Callithrix jacchus: one gene and its partners. The protein of the gene in region 5 interacts with the protein of the main gene of each other region in a pairwise test. Links are inferred from orthologs where the notes say so. Each region holds a gene or a part of one and is shown on either strand. Other genes may lie near its edges.

Evidence for each region. The genes of interacting proteins can lie anywhere in the genome.
Region 1: the proteins of HTT (region 5) and TTC23 interact in binary tests that used the Homo sapiens proteins (3 or more experiments, as listed by UniProt). The link is inferred for Callithrix jacchus from reciprocal best matches to the Homo sapiens genes HTT and TTC23.
Region 2: the proteins of HTT (region 5) and EVL interact in binary tests that used the Homo sapiens proteins (3 or more experiments, as listed by UniProt). The link is inferred for Callithrix jacchus from reciprocal best matches to the Homo sapiens genes HTT and EVL.
Region 3: the proteins of HTT (region 5) and PPARG interact in binary tests that used the Homo sapiens proteins (3 or more experiments, as listed by UniProt). The link is inferred for Callithrix jacchus from reciprocal best matches to the Homo sapiens genes HTT and PPARG.
Region 4: the proteins of HTT (region 5) and KLF11 interact in binary tests that used the Homo sapiens proteins (3 or more experiments, as listed by UniProt). The link is inferred for Callithrix jacchus from reciprocal best matches to the Homo sapiens genes HTT and KLF11.

The regions. Positions count from the first base shown.
Region 1 is NC_133507.1:10,514,276-10,518,929, forward strand, and holds the end of TTC23 (tetratricopeptide repeat protein 23), read left to right. Parts: intron 1-1,226; coding exon 1,227-1,309; intron 1,310-2,416; coding exon 2,417-2,534; 3' UTR 2,535-4,410; downstream 4,411-4,654. UniProt on the Homo sapiens protein: Participates positively in the ciliary Hedgehog (Hh) signaling.
Region 2 is NC_133509.1:135,052,867-135,057,520, reverse strand, and holds part of EVL (ena/VASP-like protein), read right to left. Parts: intron 3,715-4,654; coding exon 3,651-3,714; intron 1,900-3,650; coding exon 1,833-1,899; intron 1,740-1,832; coding exon 1,677-1,739; exon of another isoform or gene 562-1,676; intron 1-561. UniProt on the Homo sapiens protein: Ena/VASP proteins are actin-associated proteins involved in a range of processes dependent on cytoskeleton remodeling and cell polarity such as axon guidance and lamellipodial and filopodial dynamics in migrating cells.
Region 3 is NC_133516.1:69,579,107-69,583,760, reverse strand, and holds part of PPARG (peroxisome proliferator-activated receptor gamma), read right to left. Parts: intron 2,815-4,654; coding exon 2,364-2,814; intron 1-2,363. UniProt on the Homo sapiens protein: Nuclear receptor that binds peroxisome proliferators such as hypolipidemic drugs and fatty acids.
Region 4 is NC_133515.1:104,934,931-104,939,584, forward strand, and holds part of KLF11 (Krueppel-like factor 11), read right to left. Parts: intron 4,402-4,654; coding exon 3,456-4,401; intron 1-3,455. UniProt on the Homo sapiens protein: Transcription factor. Activates the epsilon- and gamma-globin gene promoters and, to a much lower degree, the beta-globin gene and represses promoters containing SP1-like binding inhibiting cell growth.
Region 5 is NC_133504.1:189,944,809-189,949,462, forward strand, and holds part of HTT (huntingtin), read right to left. Parts: intron 3,535-4,654; coding exon 3,396-3,534; intron 2,362-3,395; coding exon 2,239-2,361; intron 28-2,238; coding exon 1-27.

The DNA of each region.
Region 1 (4,654 bases), on a different chromosome or scaffold from region 5:
TGGCTCAGTCCTGTAATCCAGCACTTTGGGAAGCCAAGGCAGGTGGACTACCTGCTGTCAGGAGTTCAAGACCAGCCTGGCCAACATGGTGAAACCTCATCTCTACTAAAAACACAAAAATTAGCTGGGCATGGTGGCAGGCACCTGTAATCCCAGCTACTCGGGAGGCTGAGGCAGGAAAATCTCTTGAACCCAGGAGACAGTGGTTACAGTGAGTCAAGATGATGCCACTGCACACCAGCCTGGGCGACAGAGTAAGACTCTGTCTCAAAAAAAAAAAAATAATAATAATAATATTCCAGTATTTTCATCTAAAATCTCCAAGTTTTCTATTTCACATTTAGTCCTTTAAATCTTTCTGGGCTTCATTTTTGTGTTTGGTTTCTGGTAGCAATTCACTTTCCTCCATTTGGAAAACCAGAGGTCCCAGTACCATTTATTGACCTGCCCACCTCTTCCTGACCCGTCCTGCAAGGCCAGTTCCGTCATTGTCAAGGCTTGGGCTGTCCGCTGTGTTCCACTGGTCTCTGGGTGAAAATCATGCTGTCTTAATCACTTTAGTTTTTTAAAAAAAGGGTCTTGGCATCCAGTAAAGCAAGTTCCTCCACCTCACTCTTTCTCAAAACTATTTTGGCCATTTTTGGCACACCTTTAATCTTTCTCCTCTCCTTGAGTTTGCTCTAGCCTAGTACAAGCAATCGAATGGCAAGACTTCAAGTAAGCAGAAAAGAAAAAGCAAGCCAAAGCCAGCCCTGGATAATCCATAAGCTGAATATTTGCCTCCTCATAACTAAGACATTTCTGTGTAGTAAAAAGTATAGAAAGCCCCTATATTAATAAAAGTAGAGTATGTGTTTATAAAAAACAAAAGCATTTTGTAAAAATCTTTTCCAGGCTATAGCAAGGACCATTTAAAAATAGAAACTGGAGCCCATCCACTGGTCAGTACCAAGGTTCTTGCCTTTTTTTTTAAAAATACAACTTTTAAATATATTTTTTGCATACAGATAGTCACAGAGGTTTTTGAAACAGTGCTAAAACTGTATGTTTTTGCCTAGAACACTCAGAACATCCAAATCGAAGGTCAGACTGTCACTAGAACATGCTAATTCCATCAGAGCAGGGTCTAAGAATGAAGTGATCTTTCTCTTGTTCAAGGGAGACTGTATTTTCCTGCTCTCAGCGACATTTCTGTAGCCTCATGATTGCTGCTTGGTGTTCTACAGTGTCTCCAGATCCAGACTTTCTTGTATGGACCGCAGGACAAAAAGACTCTGGCCACCCAGCAGGCCATGGGCATCCTGTCCACGTGAGTTGGCTTCCCTCACACTTTCTCTGCGTATCGCATTCCCTTTCCATTCAGAATCTCAAGAGGAAGCTGCTTCTAGAAGGTTCTATGGTTCTGCCCAGGTATTTAGAAATAATTTGTCCTTTAAGTCAGAAATATATGCTGGATGTTGTCCTCCTGCAGACAGCCCCTTGCAGGCTAAGGCACCCGCTGCAGGGGGTGGGCCCCAGAACTCCTGTGGCCTCCTGCAGCCCTGTTTCCAGCTTCCCTCTGCCCTCGGATGCCTGTCAGAACTGGAGCTGGAGAGTTCACTGACTTGACCTTGAAGGCTGCCCCCCATGTTCTTTCTGAGCCTCAGCAGAGGCCCAGCAATCTCCTGTGGAGGGCCCACCTCACAAAGCCTGGTCCACAGGGAGCATCCCTAGGGCTACCTGAGTCTATGCTCAAGGAAACAGGGCCACAGCCTGCAGCAGAGACTGAACGTGGCCAGCAGGGCAACATACCCTTTGAGGACAGGAAGGTGAGCCAGGGAGGCCTCCTGCCCAGCCCTGACCATCCTTCTCACCCATGGCCTCCTCACCAAGCCAGCTAAGGATTGACTGCCTCAGCTCAGTGAGGATGGTCACAGGGGATTTTAAAAGATGGGAGGGGCCAGGTGAGGTGGCTCATGCCTGTAATCACAGCACTTTGGGAGGCCGAGGCAGTGGATCACTTGAGGCCAGGAGTTTGAGATCAGACTAGCCAACACAGCAAAACCTCGTCTCTACTAAAAATACAAAAATCAGCCAGGCAAGGTGACATGTGCCTAATCCCAGCTACTCAGGAGGCGCAGGCAGGAGAATCACTTGAACCCAGGAGGTGAAGGTTGCAGGGAGCTGAGACTGGGCCCCTGTACTCCAGCTTGGGTGACAGAGTGATACTCGTCTGAAAAAAAAATTAATAAAAAATAAAACATGGGAATAAAACATCTAATGTTCTATGCTCTCATGCCACAATTATCCTCTCATTTATAGCCCCTCCTGAGGCTTCTCCTAGATGGGTCTGGACCTGCTGGGCAGCAACGGCTGGATGGGAACAGTGTGGGGGCTGAGGGGCACCACACTCACCCCACCCTCTGCTTGTCTGCAGGGCTCCCGAGATTGCTGTGAAGCCAAGGCAGGCATCAAAAGGCAAAGTGGCCTTCTGCACCAGCATCCCTCAGGACACCATGCTGAGGAAGGCCCGGCCCAGCACAGCAGCAGACTGAGGCCCCCACCCTGAAAAAGCCTAGGACATTCCTGGGCACTGCCAATCAGGGTGCTGTACACATCTGTCTCCACCTAGAAGATGGAATTCAATAGTCAGGATACAGACTTTCAAGGCCAACTGTTGGCTCCAACATGCAACAGTGAGACCAAAAGCCTCCTGTGGGCCACACTGTGAACAGTGGATGCCCTTCAGGGTGATATATGCTAGAAAGCATTTTTCTTTTAATCACCTAAGTGTTTTTTCTTGCCAACAAGAATTTTTGGCCATCAGCACTACTGTGGCTGAAACCTCTCTTCAGAAGTTCAGAGCGGCCTCTGCAGGAGTCAGCCTGGATCTACTGGTACACACAAATCCTTGCATAGGTCTGGAGTCAGATCTGGAACACTAAACTCAGGAAGAAGCCCTTTCTCATAGGAGGTTAACAGGGATCAAGAATAACATGGGAAGAAAATGCTAATAAAGGGAAACTCTAATGCGCTGGTATCGGCATGTGTTTTCAAAGTGCAGCCTGCCTCAGAGTTCCTTGGAGCCTGAAAGGGGGTCAGAGACAGCTCCCTTTATGTGTGTCCTTGGTCACTCTTTGAACTGTGTCGAGCACCTGGTATGTACGTGGCATGTGCTAAGAACGGGGGGCACGGCAATAGACAAGACAGTCACAGCCCGGCACAGCACCAGGAATTAGTGCTGTGGGATTGGTAGGCAGCAGGGGCAGCACCCGTGAGAGCAAAAGAGCAGAGTGGGAGGGGCAGGAGGCCAATGCACCGGACTCGGTGCACCTAACTAAGCCTGGGCCAGGAGGCAGGTGTAAGGGACTGAAAAGAAAGGCCAGCAGGACGCTGCAGGAGGGTGGCACTGATTCCCTGCTGCTTCACATCCTGTCTGGCCTCTACTCCAGGCAGGACAAATCCGGATGCCACCTGGAGCTGCTTCCTGAGTTGACACACTGTCGTGTGCACAGAAGTCTTCAGCTCCCTGGAGGGAGGCCTTAGTCATGTGAGGCTGGCCAAGTCTAACAGGAAGATTTGAGCATGTTTTCCACAATGTCAAAGATGAGATCCAGTGCCAGATTGAGATGGATGGAGCACCCAGAAGTAGGGATGCAGGTGTGGGCAATGCCGTCCCTTCTCTTCCCTCCCCTCATCCCACAGACGGTGGCCAGTGAGGCTGTAGGCTGGTACTAGGATGGCAGCAGATTGCAGCACAGGGGGCTGTCCCTCCAGCTCCCTCTGGGACATCTAAACCATCCTGGGGCCATCTGTGCAGGGCCCCACCTCAAGAATTGAGGGGGAAAATAAACTCAATAGAGTCACAACAGGGTAGAAAAAAGCAGGCTCCATGTCTTCCTCAGAAGCGTGACACCTGACCCTACAGACCATCCTTGCTGGTACATGCTGGTCCCAGATCCTGGGCCTGCAGGACATCAGCAGTGTGCTAAAAAGGTGTAAGATGTGGTCACTACTCATCATGTGTCCTATCTAAGTTGACACGGGCGGAGTCTGCTATGGGCTGAATGTTTGTGTGCCTCCAGTTCATGTTGAAGCCCTAATCCCCAAAGGGATGATATTAGGAGGTGGGGCCTTGGAGAGGTGATTAGGTCATGAGAGTGGAGCCCTGATGAGTATGATTAGTGCTTTATAAGAAGAGACACAAGAGAGATGATCTCTCTCTCCACCGTGTGAGGACACAGAAAGAAGGCAGCCATCTGCAGGCCAGGAAGAGAGCCCTCACCGGGAAGCGAATCTGTTGGCACCTTGAGACTTCCCAGCCTCCAGAACTGTAAGAAATAAATGTCTCTCAGGTTATGGCTCCCTGTTAGAGCAGCCTGAACTGAGAGTCCATGCTGGGTTTTTTAATAAATGTGCATCCTGATGTTACTTCTTCCTTTCCGTATTTCTTGAAAGGTATCTTGGAATCACAAAAGCTAAAACACATTTTTTAAATTTAGCGCCACCCCCCCCCACCCCAGGAAAGCATGAATTTAGGAATGCTCCCTCCAATGTCTCCCATCTGTTAATTCTGTTGACTTCAACAAGGGAGGAAGACTACAGCTACTTGTGTTTTTGTTTTTGTATTTTTGGTAAAGGGGCTACAAACAGGTAAGGATATCTAGCTGCTCCT
Region 2 (4,654 bases), on a different chromosome or scaffold from region 5:
GCTCCACCTCGCCAGGACTGGGCCCTCTCCATCTGCACCCGACAGCCACCCAGTGATACACACAGCAGGCTTCCTAAGCAATGGGATGCCCTAGAGGGGTGGAGGTACATGCTCCCTTTGGAGCCATCTAGAAATTAGACAACAGATTTGTCTCAGAGCTGAAGAGAGACTCTATTCCAAGCATGAATGGCCTTGACAACGTTCCTGCCCATTGAGCGACCCTTGGCCCCTCAGAGAACACTGCAGCCCGCCTTCACTCCATCAGCAGACCACGGCCGGGAGCACTACAGGATCCTCCGGCTGCCATGTCTGCTCCAGGACCCTCGCTTTGCCCACTCTGGTTGCCTTCCCCTTCCCAGCTCCCATCATGGCATCCTGTGCCTCAAGCTCCCTGGCTGGAGTCCTGCACATGAATCCAATGCAAACTTTTAATTCCGTGCTCCCTCACACCCTCTTCCTCACCCTTCCCGTTCCCATGCCCCATGGCCTGCTGTCTGCTCCGAGGTGCGAGGTGTGGGAGAACTTGGCAGGTGGCTGCAGGCTCAGGGCCCTGGCACTTACCCTTCCTTCAGCTTGGAAGGCTGTCCCCATGCTCTCCGAACAGCAGGCTCCTCCTCGTCCAGGTCAATGAAATGCCAGCTCCCAACGGAGGCCTGCCCTGCCCCACTCCCCAAAGCACCCTGTCCCTTCCACCACGTGGCCCCACACCCTTGCTGGAGCACCCCTCAGGACCACAGGGGCCTTGTTCTCATGTGATCTTGGCAGGCAGGGACTGTCCCCAGCACACGGCCTGGCTGGCCACAAGCCTTTGACAAACCCCAGCTGACTGCTAAGACTTCCTCATCTCTGTCCCCCTGCCCTGGTCTTGGCCATTTCTGCCAGGGACAGGCCAGGGCTTGCTCGGCTTGTCACCCGTTTCGCTCCGCAAGGCCAGTTTCAGTGCCTCCTCCTCTGTGACAAGGGTGGGTTCCCTTCAACTTCTGGTGGCAATGGAGACATTTCTTGATGCAGGTTCTAGAGGGCTTCACATTCAGGCCACGTGGGCCTCCAGATACGATGTGGCTGCCTGCACCTTTTTGGGCAACCTCAGTTCCAAATATTCTATCGTGCTGTCATGCCAGCTTTTGGTTTGGGAAATATGGTCAGCATGTCTGGGGGAAACTGGCTCTGTGCTGGACGCAGAGGAAGGACTGTGGGCTGGAGGAGAGGGTGTGGGGCTCAGGGCCAGTCCTAGGACTAGCTGAGCTGCTGGCTGCAGCCACGCCTAGTGACCATGTCCAGCTGTTGTTTGCACAGCTGTCCCCACTACTGCCCTGTGCAGCAGGGATTCACCGACCTGTTTTGTGGGGGGAGGGGGAAAAAGAGGCCTGGAGAGTTCCCCTAACTTGCTCACTGTCACATGTAGTGAGTCCAGAGCTGAGACTCCAAGTCAGCCCCCTGCACTGGATCTGTGGACAGGTCACTGCCCTCCCCGGGCCTCGGTCTCTCCCTCAGAGGGAGGAGGAGGAGCTGACTGACAGGACCCTGAGGTCCTGGGTCTGAAAGAACAGATCACCTTCCCAGAGCAAGCTGTTAAATGCCAAGACATGAGACAGGGTGCAAGGTGTTAGTCACAGGACAGGGGACAGAGGAGCCCCAACCCTGGAGAACACGTGAGCAGGAGGGTTGTTCAGTACCTAGAGTGAGGCTGCAACTGAAGGGGGCTCTTAGCTTCGGGGCTCTTTGCCACAGACGGGGTTCTACAGCATGGAATGAAACAGACATGTGAATCGGCGCCAGCACCCGCCTCTGCCCACCCCAGCCTTGCTGCTCAGGCCTTCTGGGCCACTCACCTGGACAGAATCGAGGATACAGGCTTCTCCACCGAGTTGCTCCGCTCCCAGGGCTTCCGGCCAGTCTCTGTCAATTCGGTTCATGGATGAAGAACTTTAGACCTGAGAGGACTCAGGAGCCACCCTAATCCCCTCAACATCCAAAAGGAAGCTCTCCCCAATGCTGAGGGTGCAGAGCCCCATGGCAAGAAGGTCTAATTTGAGCAGAGCCAAAACCTGGCTTCTTGTTCTCAGTCCCCCATGGCCTAGGCCAGCCCCCTGAGGGCTTTAGATGGCACCACTGTCGTCACCCTGTGTCTCCCCTACTCCAGGACTCAAGCTCCTGTTCCCTTGACCTGGTTGACCCTGACCTGTGACCTCGTTCTGAGTCCTTTCACTGTGGTCAGGTTTCTCTGGAACGTGGGCCTGCTGGTAAGCAACCCAGCGAACGGGGCTGAAGGGGAAGCAGGCAGGACCTCCCCAGACACTCCCAATGCAGCCTTGCTCCCATGAGCTGTGCAGCCAGGACCCGAGGCCCAGCACCTGCTGCTGACGGGCTCCTTAGCTGGCCCCCATGCTGTGCCTGGCTCTGTCCCATTCAGCTGGCTTGTCTTTTCTTTTTCAAGGTAAGTGGTATTGGATTATATTTTGGCCTACTCCAAAAGATTTGTTGCATTAAGTTGAATTTGCTGACTTTGCAGGATGAGCAGAGACAGAAGACAAAATCTCTAGTGGTAGTGGGGAAGCTGCCTGGCTGTGGTACCCTGCAGACCAACTGTGGGACTGAGGTAGTTTTCCTCAAAGTCACCTTCTGGGACAGGTGCTGGGACTGCAGGCACTAGACCTGGGGCCACAGACCCGTCCCAGGTGTGTGGCCTTGAGCAAACCACTTATCATACAGATGCAAACACATAGCCCACTCACTGGGCTGCTGTAAGAAGCAAACAGGGCAGGGGCATTGTTCACGTTCATCAGCCAAGAACCTATGCATCATGGCAAATCGACCTGCCAGGCAAAAGTCCTAGGAGGAGAGGACACGGTGTACAGTCTCACAGTGAGGTGACACTCAACCTGAGCATGCCCCAGAGAGACACATGAACAGCTGGCAAGCGCCTCCCATGCCCAGCTTGGGCAGCCTGACGCCCCTGCCTCTCCTTGCCATGCTCATGAGCACAGGCCTGGCACAGAGCAGGTGCTGCGCCAATGTCTGTTGAATGAACAACCAACCCTGGGGTCTTCCTCCCACTTCCTCTTAAGGCTTATGTAGAGAACCTCTGCCCTTGTCACCTCATCATTCTCTCCTTCCTCCTTCCCACCTGCCACAGCTCTGACGGGAAACCTGAGCCAGGGAAGGAGCTGCATTTCGGTGAAGCAAGATCCACTGCCATATCTGTAACGCTAGTCACCAGCTGGCGTTTCATGGGAGACATGAGTCCTGACGCTGACCCTCTTAAGACCACTGGCCCCGGCCTGCACTCAGGAGCCCTGGACACAAACCCCCACCCTGAATATGTGCCATCAGGCAAGTGCCTTCCCTCATGCGGAACTCAGGGTCCTGGTGGGAAATGAGGTGCCGCGTAGGCCACTCTGGGGACCCATGACGGTGACTCTGTTCTAGCACTTCCTATGCTCCTGCATGGATTCCTGGGGGATGCTCTGGGGGACTCATAAGAACTGGGCTTCCCTCTGTGTGGCCTGGCTCTCTGCTCAGGCAAACTGAGGAGGCTGGATCAGAGAGTCCTCTTTGAAGGGTGCTCCCCCCACTCTGAGACCTCATGCCTCACATGCCCCCTTGCCCTGTTTGCTTCATACATGAGGTCAGTGGGGGCGCCATCTCACCTGAGGAGTTAGGTGGCTGGCTGGCTGCTCGGGTCCCCGGAGAGGGGGAGGTACTAGGATCTTCCTAAGATGGAGAAGAAGGAAGTCTGTTTAGGAACACTGCTTGGGGCTGGGGCAGGACACCACTGGGCACTCTATAAAACCTCAGTTTTCCAAATGTTCCCAGTGAACACATACAACTTTTATAATTAGCAAAACATTAAATATTTAAAACTGAAAACCCCAAATCTCAGTGGGGAGTGAATCCAGCCTGTGGACAAAGGGGAAGGGGAAGGCTGCAGGAAGCTCCAGGACCTTTGCAGAGGAGTGCAGACTCCTTTCTGGCCCTCAACACCCCAAGCCCTGAGCCCCATGGGCCAGATGCCTCCTGTGTGTCATCTCGCTGACTTCTTGCAAGCATGCCGAGGAGGGACCTATTCCCCCATGTAGCACACACACAGCTGCCCCTGTGACAGGTCTGTGGCAATGCTCGACGGGTGGATGTGTGTCCAACAGTGGGAACACCCAACACTCGCTGTGCATGGCATGTGCATCAGGATGATTTTCAGCACCAAGAACATGCCACTTGTTAAGTAATAAGAGTAATCCTCTCACTTGATGAAGCAGAATGCACAGCATTTGAGCTGCTGACAGGCAGCCACCCAACCTGATGTGTAACTCTGATCCCAAGCAAAGAACTTCTGCCCTTGTCACCGTGGGCAGAGGTCTTTGCTTTGTCTCCTCTGCTCACTACGTCCCCACACAAGAAGAGGCGTGGCACCTATCAGGAATGCCCTGTGTTATCTGTCGGGTGAATAAGTCCTGGGAGGCTCTGGTCGAGGGCAAAACCAGGTACCAGGCTGTAGGTGTTGAGATGAGGTCCTCAGGCCTCCTCATTTTAAAGATACCTGAAGAACAGATTATGTCAGTCAACAAACACATGTGGAGGCCAGGATGAAAGCTATATAGGTTGACATTAGAGTCGGTAAAATATTAGATTTTTTTTTTCCTTTTTTTTTTTGAAC
Region 3 (4,654 bases), on a different chromosome or scaffold from region 5:
AAAGTATTAACAAAGAGTATGTAATGAAATGGGAAACTGATTCAGTGAAAAGAACAGACATGGGATATATAGTAAGCTCAGGAAAAATATTTGAAATAAATTAAATATTAGTATATTTCCAAATTTTATTAAAAATAAAATGTGCCTTTATTAAAAATAAAATCGTAGATAAATAGGCTGGGTGCAGTGGCTCATGCCTGTAATCCCAGCACTTTGGGAGGTGGAAGTGATTGGATCACCTGAGGTCAGGAGTTTGAGACCAGCCTGGCTCTACTAAAAATACAAAAATTAGCTGGGTGTGGTGGTGCATGCCTGTGATCCCAGCTACTAGGGAGGCTGACGCAGAAGTCACTTGAACCTGGGAGGCAGACAACCTGGATGTAGTGAGCAGAGATCGCGCCACTGCGAGAAGAGCAAGACTCCATCTCAAAAAATAAAATAAAAGTAAAATAAAATACTAGCTAAGTAATATAAACTGTTTTTCAAATCTAATTTTTCAAAATTTAATATTTTTCTTCTGGCAAACCTCTTATATACTGGAATCTCATCCTTTTTTGCCAAATTAATAAAATATACTACAGAGTCAAGGATTAATTTAGGTAGATTTGGTCAAGCTATTAAACCATGCCAGGTAGTATATTTTTGTTCTATTAAATATAATATCAAGTAGTTATTTGACCCTGGACTTGTGGCTCTAAAGGTAAACTACACCATATTGTGATCTATTTGCTCCCTAGGCATTTAAAGGGCGGTATTCTGCATGATGTGATGGTAAACAGCATAGAGTCTGAGCCAGCATGCCTGATTCACAATCATGGATCCATCTTTTGCTAGACACGTGACCTCGGGCAAATGAGAAAACCTCTCAGTGCTTTGGTTTCCTCATTTGTAAAATGGCCCTTACTTCCCTGAATTGTTGTAAGGGTTGAATAAATATGCATGAGGTGCTTAGAACACTGCCTGGCACACAAGAAGTACTAAATAAATGTTTGCTATTCTTATGACTACTGTACTATGCACATGATTTCAGAAACATTCTCCTTTCAACTGGACAACAAAAGACCACACAGTGATCATGCTCTTTATAATCCAGTGTGCAGTTATACACAGTTTACCACTATCCCCTGATGGCTTTTTCAGAAACAGAGAATTCACTGTAGAGTACATATAAAAAGCTCACATGAAGTCCACTTCAACAGGAAAACCCGCTACTCAGAAACAATTTTTACACAGAGAGATGAAAGTAAAACCTCATGAGAGGCTAATGAAAGTAAGGTTTAGGTTGGGTGTAGTGGCTTATGCCTACAATCCCAGCACTTTGGGAGACCAAGGCAAAAAGATTGCTTGAGGTCTGGAGTTCGAGATCAGCCTGGGCAACATAATGAGACCTCACCTCTAAAAAAATTTTTTAAAAATTAGCAGGGCATGCTGGTGTGCTCCTGTAGTCCTGGCTACTTGGGAGGCTGAGGTGGGAGGATCACTTGAGCCGAACTGTAAAATGGCCATGTATTACTTCTATGAAGTAGCATGATCATAGCTTACTAAATGCAGTTAGAAGCTGCAGCGAGCCATAATCATGCAACTGCACTCCAGTCTGGGTGACAGAGTGAGGCCTTGCCCCACACACAAAAAACAAACAACAAAAAAAGAAAAGAAAAAAGTCACACTCAGTAGGAAATCTGGTTTTTGGAACTGGTTAGTCAGATAATATACTTCCAAGGCCAAAAATACAACAAATTGCTAAATAACTCAGTTTATCTCTATGTTGTGTGTTCGGTTCACATTGCATTCTTAATCACAACCAACTACTTCATAAAGGTACTTTAAGGGAGCCATCAGAGGAATCCACACAAGAGAGTGGGTGGAGGTCAGTAGGTATTCCTTAATTTCTGATATCAGAAAAGCAATTCAAAACAGTATCTTACTGATGATAGCGCAGGAGCATAATTCGAGCAGAAACACTTAGTAGTACCTTCTCTAGGCCAAGTCAACAATGTCTGAAGCAAAGTTATATATGTCATTACTTACAGGAAACAGAGATTAGACTGGCCTCTAATCTTCCTTTCTGGAAAGAAAGAAGGAAACAAAGGAAAAAGGAAAACAAGAAGAGGGCATTTGACTGGAAAAAAATATATTGTGTGGGATGAAAGAGAAGATCCCGGGTTACCCATAGCCTTCATAGCAGAAACCTTTGATATTCTTTCTTGGTACAGTGTTTTGCATGTGTAGTGATGATTCATGGCATTATGCCATTGGCACTTAATGTGACAACGAACGCAGACTAATACTAAGGAAATTCAAAATTTTGGCCATCCCACCATCCTCCCACCCTCTCTCACAGAAGATCAAAAGACAAATCTTACCTCCACTGAGAATAATGACAGCAATAAATATTGCCAAGTCACTGTCATCTAATTCCAGTGCATTGAACTTCACAGCAAACTCAAACTTGGGCTCCATAAAGTCACCAAAAGGCTTTCGCAGGCTCTTTAGAAACTCCCTTGTCATGAAGCCCTGGCCTTCGGATATGAGAACCCCATCTTTATTCATCAAGGAGGCCAGCATTGTGTAAATGATCTCGTGGACTCCATATTTGAGGAGAGTTACTTGGTCATTCAAGTCAAGATTTACAAAACCAGGAATGCTTTTGGCATACTCTGTGATCTCCTGCACGGCCTCCACAGAGCGGAACTGGCAGCCCTGAAAGATGCGGATGGCCACCTCTTTACTCTGCTCCTGCAGTGGGGTGATGTGTTTGAACTTGATTTTATCTTCTCCCATCATTAAGGAATTCATGTCATAGATAACGAATGGCTGCAAATAAAACAGAAAAAGTGGCTGAATTGGAGAGTTCTAACTTACACTGAATGTCATCCCAGTTCAGAAAACTGTTTCGTTATGTAAATTTGCTTTGTTAATTAAAATCTTTAAAGCTGAAGACGCTTAATAATGAGGACGTATTCTCAAGTTCTTTTATTCATCTTAATTGTCTTCTGAGACCAAAGGTATTTCATCAATTTCGGTCTTCTTTCTCTTCAATTTATACTATAACACCTAACCTATGACTGCCAGGAATCCCAATGTCTCTTGTTTGGGAGTCTTCATTGTTGATTTTTATGTTTATTTGTTTGTTTTTGAGACAGAGTCTTGTTCTGTCACCTAGGCTGAAGTACAGTGGCACTATCTGGGCTCATTGCAACCTCCACCTCCCAGGTTCAAACGATTCTTGTGCCTCAGCCTCCTGAATAGCTGGGATTACAGGCACCACCACCATGCCCGGCTGAGTTTTGTATTTTTAGTAGGGATGTATTTTTAGTAGAGTTTTGTATTTTTAGTTTTGTATTTTTAGTAGGCCATATTGGCCAGGCTGGTCTTCAACTCCTAGCCTCAAGTGATCCGCCTGCCTCGGCCTCCCAAAGTGCTGGGATTACAGGCGTGAGCCACCGTGCCCAGCTTTTTGTTGTTTCTAAAATGATACAAAATCTACTGTTTATCTTGGCTTTCAATGAAATACACTTTTGGCCTTCTTTCAATTAAAAGTCATTTTGGCAACTCAGGGTTGAGAATACTCACTTGAACATAAAGTAACTTTTCAGGTTTAAAAAACATGTTTTTCTTATTTTTTTTTCCTTTTCCTTTGTTCTCCTTCACAGGTAATAACTTTTCAGTTTTAGATGACATCCTCTAAGATCACAAATGAAACTATGTGCATATGAAATGTGTTTAAGTATTACAAAATCACTCTGAAAGCAGATTTGAGCTATTGAACCAAGAAAATGTCTATTTCTTTTTTTAATGCTCTGGAAGTCATCTATTTCAGAAAGAGCAGATTCAGAAAGCCTGTAGGGGACTGCTGCAAAAAGTGGCAAAAAAGGGTTTTGAATTTATATTTTAAAATATTTGTCCTTACAGGTTAAACAATCAATAAAATACATGCCCCAATTATTCAAGTTTGCAATCGGCTGTTTTCAAAAATTAAGTTGTTTGGTCATGACCTGATCTTTCTCTGACTTTCCTTGTATAGAACTAACCAAAGGTTTGTAGTCACTGAGAAGTTCTCAAGGCTGCTCTAAGGGCAACCTTCTACTTACACTGGATACAGTGAATGACATATAGGAGTTAAACCTTGAATCCTGTTCAAATACTTGTGTACCTGAAGGCACTGGAAGAAGAGCTGAAGGTATCTGGGTTCTAGTTTTCGTTCTGTGGTGAACTATGTGACTTAAGGAAAGTCATTTACCTTTCCTAGACCTGAAATTTCTTCATCAGGGGTTTCCATCTCTTCTCTGGGGGAAATTCTAGCTGCATTTCTCAGAAGCAGGATGTGTGTAGGGGGTGGGCATATGTGTGGAGAGGTGTGAGTGTGTATGCACAACAAACATGAAGTCTCTGATGGACTAAAAGTAAAGATTTTTTTGAGCACAGATGCTGAGAATTCTCTCCTGAGTGGGCAGAGAGAAGGTGCATGAGTGGCCGTGGCAACTGGCTTCAAGATGCACTGGTTGGAGATTCTATTCATCTCTGCGGAACTCTATGATTTCCATCAAAATATTAAGTCTGTTCTACACTGGAGGAAATAACACCAACATTAAGGACTCTTAGATCTTAAATATTTCCAAACTTGTACGTCACATCAACACCATTTACTGGAGTT
Region 4 (4,654 bases), on a different chromosome or scaffold from region 5:
TAGGGCTTAAAGAATATTTCACTTTATAGTGTTACTACTCAGCAATTTCCTTTTATATAAGCCTTTATATAATCATATTAGTTTATAGAATGAGAGCTTAAAGAACTCCTTTATATAATCCTCTCTATATAATCATATAACAGTTGATAGTATGAGTGCCTAAAGAATATTTCCCTACATATAATTATATTTTAGTTCATAATCGGAGGAATGCCTAAAGTGGACACAGTACCGAGCATGAATTAAGGAATAAGTAGCTTATAATTGGAGGAATGTCTAGAGTAAACACAGTGCAGAGCATGATTTAAGGGAAAAACAGTTATACCAGGACAAGAATCCATAGCCCAGGCGGCAGCGTTCAGTATTGTAACGATACCCGCTCTATGGCAGGCTTGCGGCGAGAGCCACTCCTCCTGATAAGGAGTTGTAGGACCTTGCTCCAGTTCTCGTGGAAGGCTGCCCTCCGAACGGCAATCCACCTTGGTATGCGCTTTATCAGCTCTTGCTACTATGCTGCTCAAAAAGCATCTTCCTATAAAACTCACTGGAAACTGCCAGAAGGTGGCGGTAACCTTAACAGCTCTGTCACTGCTATGTGACTTAAAATATCCTCCTATAAATCATCTTAAAAGTAGTTTGCCCATAGATAAAAGTATTGCACACTGCACCCTCTTCACTGTGCATGACCCACCTTCAAGCCTCGGTGACCTGATGGGGCTGGACCCCTTACTGCACCCGGCCCTTGCCCCTTCATGGGAACGGGCCCCTTGCTGCGAACTGTCCACCTCCTGGCCTAGGTGACCTAATGGGGGTGGACTCCATGTTCTGTTGCTCGTGACCCTATCACTATCCTTAAAGATGATTTCACTCACTGCCCTGCCCCCTAACCTATACACAATAAATACTCATGCTTCGGGACATTGGGGCCTCGCCTAACTCTGCTTACAGGTGGCATGGCCCCCTAAGCCCAGCTGCGTTTTCCTTGTACTTCTGTGTCCTGTCTCTTTATTTCTCAGATCCTGCGTCTCAGCACAGCATAAGGGACACCCCACGACCGTGTGGGGCCATCAGCCCTACATGGAACTGGATGATCCGGGTCAATCCTCCATAAAGCATTTATTCCTGCCACACTTAAGATGCAGTATGTTGTTAGCACCCAAAGATTTCAAGCTAATCTTTCAAAATATATCTAAAACTAAAAATAAATCAAGCCAAGTACAAGCACAGGGGCTCATGCCTATAATCCCAGCACTCTGGGAGGCTGGGAGGGAGGATCAGTTGAGCCCAGGAGTTCCAGACCAGCCTGGCCAACAAAGTAAGGCCCTGTCTTTACCAAGAATAAAAATTAATTAATTAAAAATGTAGCATCGTGCACCAAAATCTCAGAAACCACCACTAAATAACTTATTCATGTAACCAAATACCACCTGTACCCCAATAACTTGTGGAAAAATAAAGAAAAAAAATGTAGCATCCATTCACTCTAGCTTATTCCAATTTAACGACCTTTCAGGTTGGTAGGAATATATATAAAAAGTGGTCTTAGCCAAGGGAAACTTGCCCAGTTTCTACTTCTCATGAAAACTCCAAGTCTACAAAATGGCACAGAAGGGGATTCTTCAGAACTCTTATGCTCATTTATTTTTTTTAATTTTTTTAAATTTTATTTTAGGTAGAATCTCACTCATCACCAGGCTGGCGTGCAGTGGCGCGATCTTGGCTCACTGCAGCCTCCGCGTCCCAGGTTCAGGTGATTCTCCTGCCTCAGCTGCCTGAGTATCTAGGATTACAGGCACGCACCATCACACCCAGCTAATTTTCGTATTTTTAGTAGCGATGGGGTTTCACCATGTTGGCCAAGCTGGTCTCACACTCCCGACCTCGTGATCTGCCCACCTCAGCCTCCCAAAGTGCTGGGATTACAGGTGTGAGCCACTGCGCCCGGCCAGTTATTTAATTGGAAGTACTTTAGGAAACATGGAAGAAGCTTGTTTTAATCATTGTAAATCATCCCGTCAGTACTTTACCAAGGAAAACTGAAACAGCAAAACCTAATTCAGTCACCTCCCCAAAGTTGGAAGCTGTGCTCCAGTGTGATGTGAAGTTCCCCTGCACAGCCCCAGTGAAATGTGGAGCTCACCAAGTCAACAAGCCCGTTAAGAGAGGCAAGCAGGTCAACTTCATCAGAAGCATTGGTTCCCTGACGCAGCCCCCAAGTCCATCCGCCATGTGAACGACCAACCCTCATTTACTAACTAGTGTCACACCCTTGTATCATCAGGCACCAGGAGTATATCCAGGTGAGATTAATATATAAGTAACTAAAAAGCAAAGGGAGAATGTGGTGAGACCTACAATAAACGACTGGGGCCAAAGAAGAAAGGAAGATAAGGAAACAAGCTAATAACTAATTCTGGGGGGGCCCTTGGAGGCTCTCGGTAAGTAGACATGGACAGAGGGCCGAGGGGGAGAGTGGAAATATAGAACAGAAGGTTGGGAGGCTGTTTCTGCACGGGCAGAGGCAACTACTTCATGGCCAAGTTTGGCCTTATCATGGAAGGAAACATCCACTCGGTAGAATGGGGGAGCAGTAGAGTTCCTCTTACAGTGTCTGAACACCAGATAGCGCTTCATTCTCCACGTGGAGGCCACCATGATCAGAGCAAGAGAACACAAACTCACAGAACGCCTGAGAAATGGTGCCCTCACCTACTGGAGCCATTCTATCCAGCAACACCCAGAACACTGGTGGGCGGCAGGGAAACCACAGGTCCCATGGAGCTATTTAAACTTCAAGTATTTAAAAGTGTAAAATTCAGTTCCTCGGGCACACTAGCCACACTTCAAATGTGAGCAGGCCGTGGCTACCCTAAAGGACAGACAGCAAACATTTCCACCATTGCAGAAAATTCAGTTGGACAGAGCTGGTTAGACAACGGATCATTAGGTCAGAAGAGTCTTGTGGAACTTACTTTAAAGTAAAAACTACTTTCAGAGGTAAGAAAACTATACTCTTTAAAAAAAATTTTAGAATTTTAACTTTAATATAGTTTGGCCAGACCTTCCCACAATGAACGTAAGTAACACTGATAAGATATATTTACTGAACGTGAATGCATGTTCTCTTAAAAATAAATAAAAATAAACCGTCTACTGCAATGTGAACACAAGGGGGCACTGTGAGTCACTCTAAAAGCTCCCGAAAGACACCATCACAGAACTAGACTACCTCTTCTCTCAGCGTGAGCAGCTGGCGCCGTCTGCAAACTCCTGAAGGCTGTGCTCACAACCCCGCCCTTACAGGATTGTGCAGGCTTTTCAGAACCAAAGAAAAAGCCACCCTTCCCCCTCCACCAGGAGTTCTCATGACACCCTCTCACCCAAAGGCAGCTCCAGGTGTGTTTCCTAACCACAGGGTCTGGTGTGCCCAATGCCCTACCTGCCCTGGTGCTTACCTGTGTGAGTGCGAAGATGAGCCTTGAGGTGGGAACTTTTGAAGTAGGTCTTCCGGCAACCTGGGAAGGTGCAAACGTAGTTCCTCCTTCGGGAAAAGTCTACCTGAGGGACACAGCTTTGGCTAGAGGCGATGAACACTGGCGCAGGGGCGAGGGGCAACAACTTGGTATTCCCCGAAGCCAAAACACTGGCCGAACTGGGGGCAGGCGGAGGGAGGGCGCCCTGGGGCAGGACCAGCATCACAGCTCCCTGAGGCACAGGAGGTCCCAGGAATACAGGTTGTGGAGCTGGAGCAGCCTGGGCTAGGATGGGTCTCACAGTCCCCACAGACAACTGGGGAGGCGGCTTCAAAAAAGCTGAGAACATGCCACTCTGTCCAGTCACAGGGATCATTTGGCAAAGGACAGGGGGAGCAGAAGCAGGGACAGAAATCAGAGGGGTGGTTTTCCTGGGCAGGTCATTTTCGTAATTCTTTGGTGAGCAAGTCTGCACTGCACCAGGCCACCCTGCCTGCTGGCCTCCATCAGTGGGGAGCAGGCCACCAGGCTTGTGCAAGCAAGGCTGACAGGACACCGCGTTAGTGCTGAGTAAACAGTCTGTGAGGCGTGCATCCTGCAAAGTTTCAAAGGGTCCCAAAAGTTGCTCTTCTTCTCTGCTGTCAGAAAGCTGGCCATCTGGAGTCTGGGTGGTGGGAAAGCAGGCAGGAGCAGGGCTCTCCCCAGTGTGTCGGATCACGCTGGTCCCCACGGCCCTGCAGAGAGAGCTGGGCACTGGCTCCAAACCCGGCAGGCCCCTCTCCACCGCCCCATTCAGTGCTCTGGCCACCACAGCAGAGGACTGGAGGGCGGCCATGGCTGTGCATGCTTTGGAATCTGTTACTTGGGAAGAAACAGGTGTCCTTGTCGATGGCTCCATGAGATCGGGGCTCTGAGGAGGAGTTATGCACTTAAAAAAAAAAAAAAGTACCACGTGAAAAGGCTGCTTTAAATTTTAAAAGGGATTTAATTGATCACAATGCTCCCAATACCTTTACATAGAATCATCTAGAGACTCAGCTAAGCCTGTTTTCAATGCCCCAGTGGGTTTCAAGGCTGCATGGGGCACTTTACTTTCTCAGCTTTTTCCCAGTGTTCACCCCTCCCAGATCTGCCCAAGGGCCCAATGCCAGGGAACTCTGAGGAGCTCCTGGCCAGCAGGC
Region 5 (4,654 bases):
TGGAGCTAATAGGCTTATGTTGAACTCCTGAAATCAGAGCATTAAAGGTTAAACAGTAACAACAGATTATGAGCTTTCAACCAGGCAAGAAAAATACAACAGAAAAAAGGATAAGGCAAATGTTTCTAAGAAAATACAGATTAGTACACCCATCAGAACTACTTTTAAGAATAGTCTATTCTATGCCTATTATAAATGTTTGAACAATTCCATTGAACATATGTTTAGTAAAATGTATTTCTATTCTCTTTTGGTATTTTAATTTTTAATGCTCTTGGATTTGCTTGAAATAAAAATTTTGGTATGACAATTTTAATTCATAAAACAGAAAATCTAAATAAAAGCAAAAGTGTCATCTAAGACATCAGTGATACACCAGTAATTCCTGAAGCTTGAGAAAGTTGTTCAAATGTAGCTGAAATAAGTAAAAGCAGCCATGTGAATGCCACAATTTTGGTTGGAAAAATGGTATTTCCTACGACAATCTGTATTATGTTTTCCCAACTTTTTGTTTAGCCATTTCAGGATTGGGGGCCAGTTTTTCAGGTAAAACATCAATCTTAAGTTTAATACTCAGAGAAGCATAATTAATGCCAAAAGCTGAAGCTTTCTTCTACAGACAGAACTTCTATAGCTGTTCAAGTCCAAAGAGCAAACCTGAAAAACCTAGTAAGCCAATCACTAAGCAAACTCATCACTCATAAGTCAGCTTTCACTGCATGAATCTTAAACGATTTTAGCAAACCAATTTTGGGCGAGTTCTCCTGTTTTCAGTATAGCTCTTCAATGCGTCAGAACACCCTGTTGTGCTGCGTTCCCTGAAAGGTCTTTTCATGAACACCTGCAGCCACCCCCAGCTCTACATGCCTTTGCCCTCCCAGGTGCCCACTTCCCTCCCATTTGCTGCTTATCGACGCAGGGCTAACACACCAGGAAGTTTCTCCCGTCCCAGCAGGTCCGAGAGGAAACCCTGCTCGGGCCACAGCTGCACCACACGCAAGAGGCAGGCCCCTGCTGCTCACAGGACCTGTCCATGGGCTTGGAGTACAGGGACACCAAGGCCTCCTGGGCTGGCTCTGCACAGGGTGCCCTCTGACATCTGGGATTGGGAGGTGAAGAACCTCACTACATCTAACAGAGGTATGGGTAGAGGAAATCTCACTGCATCCAAGAGTCTCCTTTAACTTCCAGAATAAACATGCTATTGAAGGCATGCATGATGTTGTGTCAAAGTCTATGGCAAATATGCAACCTTGACTTCCATTCTGTGTTGGCCAATGAGTGTAGGTGATAAAATCCCGTGTTTGTTCCTCTGGTGGAGGCCAAATAGTTCTCATCCTAAACCATACACCCAGCCTTGGGGCCAGCTGAATTTCAAAACAGTACCTCCTCTTGAGAGAGGGTTCCCATCAACTTGTTTCAAATTCCACAGTTGCCTGCTTCCAATTGCCATCCAGTTTCTACCCTGCTCCCCTGCCGCTCATATTCCCCACCACAGATGCCAATCGGAGTGCCCAGGGCCACACTTCATTCCCTCATATTCTCGACCTCAGACAACAATCCAAAACCCTTCCTCACTGCCATGAGAACAAAGAAGCAAACTGACTATAATACAAGATCACCTCCTTTTTTTTTTTTTCTGAGACGGAGTTTCGCTTTTGTTGCCCAGGCTGGAGTGCAGTGGCACAATCTCGGCTCACCGCAACCTCTGCCTCCTGGGTTCAAGCAATTCTCCTGCCTCAGCCTCCCGAGTAGCTGGGATTACAGGCATGCACCACCATGCCCAGCTAATTTTTGTATTTTTAGTAGAGATGGAGTTTCTCCATGTTGGTCAGGCTGGTTTCGAACTCCTGACCTCAGGTGATCCGCCCGCCTTGGACTCCCAAAGTGCTGAGATTACAGGCATAAGCCACCACACCTGGCCACCATCTACATTTTCTTTAAATGCATGAAAGGTTGAGTGAAATCAACTTGCCTTCTTGGATTCTAACATGGCTGAAATAATGTGCTTTCCTATCTGGATCAGCATATCCCCCACGTCCCAGCCCCATCTGAAATCGAGTCCTCCCCACTTCCCAGCCCCATTCAGACAGGAGTCTCCCCAGCCTCCTGTCCATAGCCAGAGTGGAGTCCCCAGCAGGTGTTGTCAACAAGTGGGTCATGATGATGAGACAAATCCCACTTGGAAGTCACAAGTAAAAGTTGAGGATTCCTTGCCTCCGCTGCTCCCCCCCGTACCGAGTTCATCATGAAGGCACTCATATCTTCAGCAGGAATCCGATTCACCAACTCTGCACCTTCCAGCAGTGCAGAGTCTGACCTGGTCCAACACTGGGATTTGACAAGATGGATGTACCAGTCCTGAGAAGAAAAAATGGATACAGGGAACATGATGGGCGGCATTCAAGGGGTCTTCACATTCCTGGAGCTACGGGCCTAGGCCAGTGCTTGGGAACACTGCACTGGGCTAACCAAGAGGGACAACAGCCAGCATGCTGTGGCCCTATGGGTCCCCACACCACAGGTGTGGGGAGCCATACCACCTTTGGACTTCCGTTACCTGCCTGAGCACCCTTGCAGTCTCCCTGTCACCTCGTGAACTTCCAACAGTCCTTCCAAATACAGCTTTATGTGGGGAGCCATACCACCTTTGGACTTCCGTTACCCACACCACCTTTGGACTTCCGTTACCTGCCTGAGCACCCTTGCAGTCTCCCTGTCACCTCGTGAACTTCCAACAGTCCTTCCAAATACAGCTAAAGCACTAAGGGTTAGCAGCCCCTTTACATCCTCCCTGGGCTTTGCTTTGCTCGTCTCTCCCCAGCAACCAGGGCAGGGCAGGTGCAACAAAGCCTAAGAAGGCAGGACTGAACATTCGCTTTCCTATACTTGGGCTGCGGGTTTTTGAAATCTAAATTCACATTCATAAGCTGAACTCTCTCCAGGAAAGTAGAGTACCAAGGCTCTACCAAGGCTCCAGGCAGTCCCTAAGTAACCCTGAGTGTGAGCAGTGGAGGTGCTGACAACATGCCAGAATGGCTGGCAGTGGTGGTGCAACTGACAGGAGGCCAGAAGGCGTAAGGAAATGGAGGCAGGCTAAACGCACTGACAGGTGCTTGAAGGCCTGTGCAGTCAGAATCCTGCAGGCCCTGGCCAACCTTCCCTTGATTCACCCACTAACTACTGGGCCCCATACTCCTAACATATGGGTCCCACATCCTAGGACCTTAGTGGTGCCCCACATCTCTAACCAAAGCTGGCTCGGGCCGAGCCCCAGACTCCTTGGGTTCACTGTACCTCCTCTGCACACTCTCTATCTGCTAGAGGTGACAGTGGCACTCAGCACCACCCTGCATGTGCCCTGTACCTCCCATGCAGACAGGCTGGACACTTACTTTGTCTGGACTCACTGTTTCCAGTGACACGTGCCCATCCCCGTCCAGCGGGTGGGAAGAGACTGGAGGAGAGGGACTGAGTGAGTCTTGCAGGGTGGAGAGACGAAACCTGTCCAGCAGGGAATAGAGCCTTTGGTGTCTAAAATACAAACAAAAATGAAGTTACAACACAATTTTTTTTTTTTTAGTCTTAGTCTAAACTCCGCAAACTAGGAGTCTAGAAATATACACTAAAAGGACTCACGCTTAGTGGCTTCTTAAAGGAAAACGCAACTTGTTTAAAACTTTTTCTTTACAGCTGTTTTCTCACCAACACTCAAACAGATCATGATACAAATGCAGGCCCTAGTTGACTTTCAAGTCACAGTTTGTATTCTATTATTATTTCCCAGAAATTTCACTTCTGGAATATACTCAAAACATTGCAACAGGCAATACGTGGTATAAAGGCATTCTTAATAAATGTAAAACAGATCATCTATCCTAAAACTCAAGTGTACAAACTCCACCACAAATATCCCGGTGAAACAACTGATACGAATTTATGGTCATTTCAAGATAAAATCACCTCATCTGGTGCAAGATATTTATAATCTTTTAATCTTCCTCATCTGGACCGAAGACTAAGTCTGAGGTTAAGAAGTAATAGTTTATCTCCCACCATCTGCTAGGAGAGTGACAACTTCAAAATGCAAATTGTAAAATAGCTTGGCCCTACAGACTGAAATATCATCCCAAACTGACTGTCCGCCAAACTGTGCCCAATCCCATTTACAAATACCATCAAGGTACTCTTAAGACTGAAATCAAAGCATAATTATCTGTGTGTGTGCATGTGCATGTGCATGTGTGTGTTTTGGCAGTTTTAGCTCAAAGTATACAGCATAGTAATTATATCCTCCTTCTCTGCTGTCTCTCTCCCTCTCACAAACACAATCTTCCCCAACCCAGAGAAGAAAAAGGATAAAAGTTTAACTGGTTTTGCAGTCACGGAAACACTCACACAGGAGATGTAAGGATCTCTGATAAAGGCTTCTCAGAGACTCTGCAAATGTAACTGATTAAATGCTGCAAGGAGATAAAATGGCCACAGGATGCAGATACAACTCCTGCATGCCAAGGATTCAGTAGTGTCTTTCAGATTTGTCAGCTCTTATTTAGCAATTAGACGACACGCTTTGATTTTGCTGAGATAAAGCTGATAACCTATTTCCAACTCATCACGGGACAGTGAACACAGGCATTATAACTACTGCCTC